Ovis aries: one gene and its partner. The protein of the gene in region 1 interacts with the protein of each later gene in a biochemical or structural test. Links are inferred from orthologs where the notes say so. Each region holds a gene or a part of one and is shown on either strand. Other genes may lie near its edges. The genes, in order: ITPR1 and CABP1.

Region 1 (3,819 bases):
CAGACTGTGGTGATGGCCCAATGCTGCGTCTGGAGGAGCTGGGAGACCAGCGGCACGCGCCCTTCCGACACATCTGCCGCCTTTGCTACCGGGTCCTGAGACACTCCCAGCAGGACTACAGGAAGAACCAGGTGGGCTCTGAGGACCCTGGGGAGTGCCAGACAGCTTCCTCCCTCGAGTTCACTTTCCTCCATGAGTTTTAAGTGTCCCATGTATATATTTATTTAGTGGCTAGAGTCTAGTTCATTGTTCAATTTGCTCTTCAATAGGAAACAGGTATTTTTGCAAGCCTGGGAAGATGCATGAGTGAGTTGAGAAGGATACATCAAAATTCTCCTACAGCATCCTTGGAATGAGATTTTTTTTTTTAATGTTGATATTACAAGTATAGTATTTTTTAAAACTTTTTATTTTATATTGGATTATAGCTGATTAACAGTGTAGGGATAGTTTCAGGTGGGCAGCAAAGGGACTCAGCCATACATGACATATATACATTCTCCCCTAAACTCCCTTCCCATCCAGGCTGCCACATAACATTGAGCAGAATTCCCTGTGTTATACAGTAGGTCCTTGTTGGCTATCCATTTTAAATATAGCAGTGTGTACGTGTACAGTATTTCTTATGGCACATTTCTGGAAGGTGTAAGGGTGCAATGGTTCCATGTGCTTTTATTAGAAATGGAATGAAATCTTTTCTTCCTGCCCCATCCATTCCCTCCATCTCTGCTGGTAGCTTCCTCTTTGTTTTGGTTCTGGCTCGTATTTTAGACATTCTAAGTCATCATCTATTGTCATCACAAGTAAACACACAAACACAAACAATATAGTCTCTCTACGAGGTAAATATTTAAACCTCTGTGATGGTTCCAAACAACTGGAGATGCTGAGGAATCACTGTGTTAGTGGTTGTTAACTGGGAGCAATTTCACCACCCACCCCCACCCTGCCCTGGGGCAGGAGGACGTGTGGAAATGTCTGGAGATGCTATTGAGTGTCACAACTTGGGAATACTACTGGCATGAAGTGGATGGAGGCCACGGATGCTATTTAGCATCTGGGCAAGCCCAGCCCAGTCCCCCCACCCCCAACAAAGAATTATCCGGTCCAAGAAGTCAGTAGGTACTGCTGAGTTCAAGAAACCCTGTGTTCCATAAACTACTATAAGTGCACAGTGATGCTTCTTATAATATGGACTCCAGTCCCTGCAGTGTGTTACAAAAGATTTTGTTTTTAAGCTTTGACCGCCGCTATATCTGGCCTTTAAATGTAAACTGTTCTCTGTAGTGAATGTTTTTTGTGTATCATCACACAGCGTTGGTCCTAAGCAGTGCTCTGAAGTATTAGATACAACTTTATTAGCAAGTATTGGGCTGGCCAAAAAGTTTGAGTTCTCCACAAGATGTTATGAAACACCTGAACAAACTTTCGGCCAACCCAGTATTGCTAAATCATTCGCTTTGCCTTTGCTACTGTTTAGATACAAAGCATCACACACTGGTGATGCTGTGTTCATTCGTTAGCATAGGTTGCCGTCGGGCACTATGGTCGGTTTAAACCCCTCTTGTGTGTGAGTACCATACTTACACCATACTTGTGCTAAAGAGGTTTTATTCTCTTCCCATGAGGATGCGTCAGAGTCTGTAATGTGTGCCGGGACCTTTTGCTTGCACATCAGAGGACTAGACCCGTCCTTCTTGTTGCTGTTGCTATGGGTGTCTTGGCTTGGTTGTTTATGGACCCTGTGCCTTTTGGCAGTAGTACTGACATATCCCTGGGGGCTGATGAATTCTCAGACATGCATCCTTACTGAGTGAGGGCTGAAAAGTGGCCCAAGTCCACTCTGTTAGTCCTTAGTCACTTTTAAGATTTTGAAATTAATGAATTAAAATGAAACCAAGTTTCAAGGGCCTTTTGAGCTTTGAGCAAGCAGTCTGTCTTGGACAGGGAAAATATCTTTGAATAACAAAAGTATTTATAAGAGGCTTCCTGGCCTTCTGAAATATTTCAATGGGACATCATATCTGATCTCAAAAGAGAAGTCAGAGATGTTTCCATGTGTTCTGTGAATGTAATTGACTGGTTTACATATTCCTGGGCTTCCCTGGTGGTTCATCTGGTAAAAAATCTCCCTGCAATGTGGGAGACCTGGATTCAATCCCTGAATTGGGAGATTTCCCTGGAGAAGGAACAGCTACCCACTCTAGTATCCTGGCCTAGAAAATTCCATGGACTGTATAGTCCAAGGAGTCACAAAGAGTTCAACTCAACTGAGTGACTTTCATTTCACTTCTTCACATGTTTACAACTACCCACTGACTTTAATTTTCATCCCGGATAAGGAAAACACAATGGAGTAATAACATTGTTCAAAATATCCAGGTAGACTTCACCATGTTTATTCAGCAGCACAGGGCAGTGAGGCACAGTTTAATCCTCTTGAATGAGTAATAAAATCAGAGCTGGAAAACAACTCTTGACCTTTAGAAAAATAAGTCACCACATTAAAATGTATACTGTGGACTTAAGAAAATGCCCATCTATAAATACAGGATATGTTACTTAGTGATACCTGTGTGGCAGGTTTAGTAAACTAAAGGATGTGAGAGAGTCTGCGGCTGTCTCCCTGGGTTGGGAAGTTGGGGAAGGACACTCCCCTGTGATTTTCCTTACAGGGAGTAGCTCTCCTGGGGGCTGCTGCCCCTTCCCTTACTCTGCGCCTCACCACACTGTCCTCCTTGCTTACCTCTCTCTCCTCGCTTCGAAGGAGTACATAGCCAAGCAGTTCGGCTTCATGCAGAAGCAGATTGGCTATGACGTGCTGGCTGAAGACACTATCACCGCCCTTCTGCACAATAATCGCAAACTCCTGGAAAAACACATCACCGCGGCAGAGATTGACACCTTCGTCAGCCTGGTGCGGAAGAACAGGGAGCCCAGGTGAGGCGGAGGTGGGGTTGATCGGCAGGAGGTGCCTCTGTGTTTACGATGCAGTCTCTGAGCTGGTCATGGTGGGTTGTTCTGTTCTGTTCTAACTAGATGTCGTTTGTTTGGGCCTGCTAGGCCCCGGGTCTTGATTGAGCAGGTCTTGAGAGGCGCTTTGAGTCGTGAAAAGAGCGTGGTATGGAAAGGAGACCAGGGTAGAATCCTGGCTCCGCAGTTTACCAGGTGGTGACCTGGAGCTTTAATCTCATCTATCAGATAAGCTGTTATAAAAATTAAATGAAGATAAATACATGTGAAGTGCCTGGCACTTTGTAAGTGATAGCTGTCGACCCCTCATTCACTTTGTAGCACCCTGCTATGACCAGTCAGAACGTCCCCAAATATCAGTAAGTCTTTTGCACACATAGTTATTACCTGAGTGTTTGTATTTACAGTAGTGAATTCTGTCAATTCTATTGCATTCTTACAGATCCCACCCTCCCTGTATACTTTCTTCTCTCTTTTCTTGTTTTAATTAAGATCCACCCCATGTCAGGGGATGTGGGAACTAGTTTACAATGTGGATATTAGAAACAGTGATGATAGAGAGCTGAAGGTGTTATTATGAAACTGACTCCTCCCACCTATTAAAAACAACTAACATCTTATGGACCCTCTCGTGTGCCAGGGACTGAACTGAGTAAGCACTTTACATGAATTAGTTCATTTAATCCTCAGAAGAGCCCTCTGGGGTTAAAGGTTATCCATTTTTATCGATGAGAAAACTGAAACATGGTTAGGTTAAATAATTTCCCCCAAATAACAGTACATGTCAGAATGTAGCGGAGAAGAACCAGAACCAGGATTCTGATTTAGGCCTCAAACATCAGACCT
Region 2 (3,819 bases), on another chromosome or scaffold:
TTGGAGGAATGCATGAGTCGATGGGCCCCTCGGGGCCGCCTCTACCCTGGAGGCTCTGCTGGTCCTCCTTCCGCACCACGTCCACCTTCCTTCTCTTCCCCAGAGCTCAGGGAGGCCTTCAGAGAATTTGACAAGGACAAGGATGGCTACATCAACTGCCGGGACCTGGGTAACTGTATGCGCACCATGGGCTACATGCCCACCGAGATGGAGCTCATCGAGCTGTCTCAGCAGATCAACATGAACCGTGAGTCCCGCTGCCAGGCACCCCGTTCCCTCCCCGGCCTCGCCCTCGCTGTCCTCTGCCGGGGTTCAAGTTCTGAGCTCCCCCTTCTTCCTAGCTCTGTGACCTGCAGGCAAACCGCTTACCCTCCCTGTACCTCAGTTTCTTCACCTGTAAAATGAGGGGTGGAATGGGGAGTTAACTGGGGGTATGTTTGCTTATTTATTTATTATTTTTCTTGGCTTATTTATTCATTTATTTTTGGAGGAAACAGCTTTATTGAGATATAATTCATATATCATACAGGTGACTCACTTAAAGCATTCCCTTCAGGGACTTCTGTGGTGGTCCAGTGGTTAGGACTCTTATCCACACTGCAGGGGGCATGGGTTTGATCCCTGGTTGGGGAATTAAAGGATAAAATTCAGTGTCTTTTAGTATATTCAGAGTTGCGCAACCATCACCCCAATCAACTTTAAAATATTTTCATGCCCCCTCCACCAAAGAAGTCCTATACCACTTTGCCATCACCCCCAAGTCCCTCCCCAGCCCTGGACAACCACTAATCTACATTTTGTCTAAGCAGATTTGCCTATTCTGGGCATTTCTTTTTCTTTTTTTTTTTGAGTTGAAGTATCTTTGTTTGGAGAAGGAAATGGCAACCCACTCCAGTACTCTTGCCTGGAAAATCCCATGGATGGAAGAGCCTGGTAGGCTACAGCCTGTGGGGTCGCAAAGAGTCAGACACGACTGAACGACTTCACCTTCACCTTATGGTTGATTTATAGTATGATATTCGTTTCAGGTGTACAACATAGGGATTCAAAGTTTTTACAGATTAGACTGTATTTAAAGTTATTGTAAAATGTTGGCTTTGTTCCCTGTGCTGCACAATATATCCCCGTGGCTTTTTGATTTTACACAGAGTAGCTGACGTCTCTTAATCCCCAGCCTCTATGTTGCCCTTCCCCCAACCCCCCTTCTCCTCACTGGTGACTGCTGGTTTGTTTTCTGTATCCGTGAGCCTGTTTCTCTTTAGGGGACATATTTTATTTTTTTTAATTAATTAATTTATTTTGGCTGTGTTGGGTCTTTGTTGCTACGCGCGGACTCTCTCCAGTTGCCTTTAGCAGGGGCTACTTTCTGGTTACGATGTGTGGGCTTCCCATCGCGGTGGCTTCTCTTGTGCAGAGCATGGGCTCTAGAGCGCGAGCTTCAGCAGCTGTGGTGCACGGGCTCAGTGGCCCCATGGCAGATGGGACCTTCCCAGACCAGGGATCGTGTCCCCTGTATTGGCCGGCGGGACTCCCAACCACTGGACCACCAGGAAAGAAGTCCCTAGACACTGTTGGGCTGTAATATTCTGAACAGCCCAATAATCGATACCTAGCAGTCAGTAAGAGTTGACCAGAGGACACTATCATTATTATGTTTTTCTCTGTCTCCCTTTGGGTCCTCCCAGGAGCAGACCAGGAGACAAGGGTTTGAGTGTGGAGTTTACTTAGAAGGGGAAGGACAGAGTCTATAGAGATTAGGGAGGCAGGAGGGTGAAGACAGGGCGCCAAGGGAGAAGGCACTCAAGGAGCTGCCACTGTGGGTGATGGAGCTCAGGGTGCTGGTGTCGAAGGCCCACCATGGAGCTATCTCTCGGGCTGGGTATTTATCCCCCAAGCTCAGTCACTGGCTGAAAGTGTTGTGAGCAGGCCCCGGGGGCAGGTCTCCTGTATTTCCACCCTCTGAAGGCTGGTTGGAAGGTGAGTTCCACTTGCACAGTGAGGGAGAGAGGGGGGCAAGTGGGCACGCGGGCCAGGCGCTCACGACTCCTGCTCCCATCTCTGCCTTTCTGCATGTTTGTCTCTGTCTCTCTCCTGCTCTGAAATTCTTTGCCTATCTCTGTGACCTCATGTTTCTTTCTCCCCTGTGTACGCCTGTCCAGTTCCTGACTTGTTCCCTTAGTTAGCCCCCGGCTGCTCCTCTGAGCTCTTTTGTGATAACCCCCCTGTCTGTGGTCTCTTCTCTGTCCTCATTTGGCCTCTGCTTTTACCCTGGGCCTGCCGCTGGGAAGGTCAGGGGAGGGCTGACAGCTTCCCCGGTTGTCTAGTTGGAGGTGGGTGGTGGTTAGATGGATGACCCAGCCTGTTCCTCTGTCCCCAGTGGGTGGCCACGTGGATTTTGATGACTTTGTGGAGCTAATGGGACCTAAACTCCTGGCGGAAACAGCAGATATGATTGGAGTAAAGGAACTGCGAGATGCTTTCCGAGAGGTAAGTGGTGGACAGCGGACAGGCAGGAGCGGGGGGACTTGTTAGAATTCCCAACCTGAAAGGAAACTGGACCTCTGGATCCCACCCCACGGGAAGAAGCTTGGACAGAGAGGCGCTCTGGGGAAGGGGTAGGGGGACAATGATGCTGAAGAAGGGGTTCAACCTTGGGATCTGCTTCTGACAGTCTTCCTGTTGCAGCTACTCTTTCCTCCTCCGTGCCCTCTCTAGTTTGACACCAACGGTGATGGGGAGATAAGCACCAGTGAGTTACGAGAGGCCATGAGGAAACTCCTGGGTCATCAGGTGGGACACCGAGACATAGAAGAGATTATCCGGGATGTGGACCTCAATGGGGATGGACGAGTGGACTTTGAAGGTAGGCGGGTCTTGAGAGTGGAAGAAGAACCAAGACAGGAGTGGGCATCCACAGAGAGCATCCCTCCACATGTGGGTCCACCATGCGGTCATCAACCCGCCCCAACTTGCCATCCCCTTACCCTTCCATCCTTCCGCCCCCCTAATCCATCGTCTGTTCCTACACCCACTCATCCATCCATCTTTCCAGACCTCTCTTTCCATGTGTTCATCCATCTGTCTCTTTTTCTGTCCAGGTGCCTATTTATCCGCTAACGGATCTCCAGATCATTTTCCATAGAATCGTTTACCTATGGCCTTACCTACCCATCCAGGCATCTATTCATTCTGAACATTCACCCGTGCCTCCATCTACCCGTATACCCCCTCCCATCTATCCATGCATCTGCAGCTCTCAACCTTCATTCACACATTTATTCTCTACCCATCCGCCTGTATCTCCACCCGTACTTCCATGGATCTGTCAGCTGTGTGCACAGTCCTTTCCCCATCTGTATCCATCTAGTCATCCATCTATCCACTCCTGTCCCTCTGCCCCCACCCACCGTGTTCCATGTCTATTGGTCCACCTTCCCCTGTATCCATCCATGGAGGTATTTTCTGAGCACCACATTCCTCAACTTGACACTCGAACCCCTTAACATCTATCCACGACTCGCCTCTCTGGCCACGGCTTTCGCCATTCCTTCACTCACACGCCGCCTTAAAACCCCAGGTGATCCAAAAGCCTGCAAAGCTCTCATTTGATTACACTATTCTTTTTGTCAGGATGCCTGTATTCTATTCTTCCCTGGCGTTAAAGCCTATTCCATCTTTAAGACCCAGCAGTGGGGCCACTTCCCTCGGTCCCCAGACTGAGCTTCCTCTTTTCTGGGCTTTCAGAGCACCTCAGGCTTACCCTCGTTCTTCACACCGGCCCCTAAGTGCTAGTTATATCTCCACTGAATTCTGAACTTT

Evidence for each region.
Region 2: the proteins of ITPR1 (region 1) and CABP1 form a complex in vitro, tested with the Homo sapiens proteins (2 studies listed by BioGRID). The link is inferred for Ovis aries from reciprocal best matches to the Homo sapiens genes ITPR1 and CABP1.

What each region holds. Positions count from the first base shown.
Region 1 is NC_056072.1:21,688,654-21,692,472, reverse strand, and holds part of ITPR1 (inositol 1,4,5-trisphosphate receptor type 1), read left to right. Parts: coding exon 1-131; intron 132-2,767; coding exon 2,768-2,940; intron 2,941-3,819. UniProt on the Homo sapiens protein: Inositol 1,4,5-trisphosphate-gated calcium channel that, upon inositol 1,4,5-trisphosphate binding, mediates calcium release from the endoplasmic reticulum (ER).
Region 2 is NC_056070.1:63,044,920-63,048,738, forward strand, and holds part of CABP1 (calcium-binding protein 1), read left to right. Parts: intron 1-103; coding exon 104-247; intron 248-2,377; coding exon 2,378-2,487; intron 2,488-2,715; coding exon 2,716-2,863; intron 2,864-3,819. UniProt on the Homo sapiens protein: Modulates calcium-dependent activity of inositol 1,4,5-triphosphate receptors (ITPRs). Inhibits agonist-induced intracellular calcium signaling.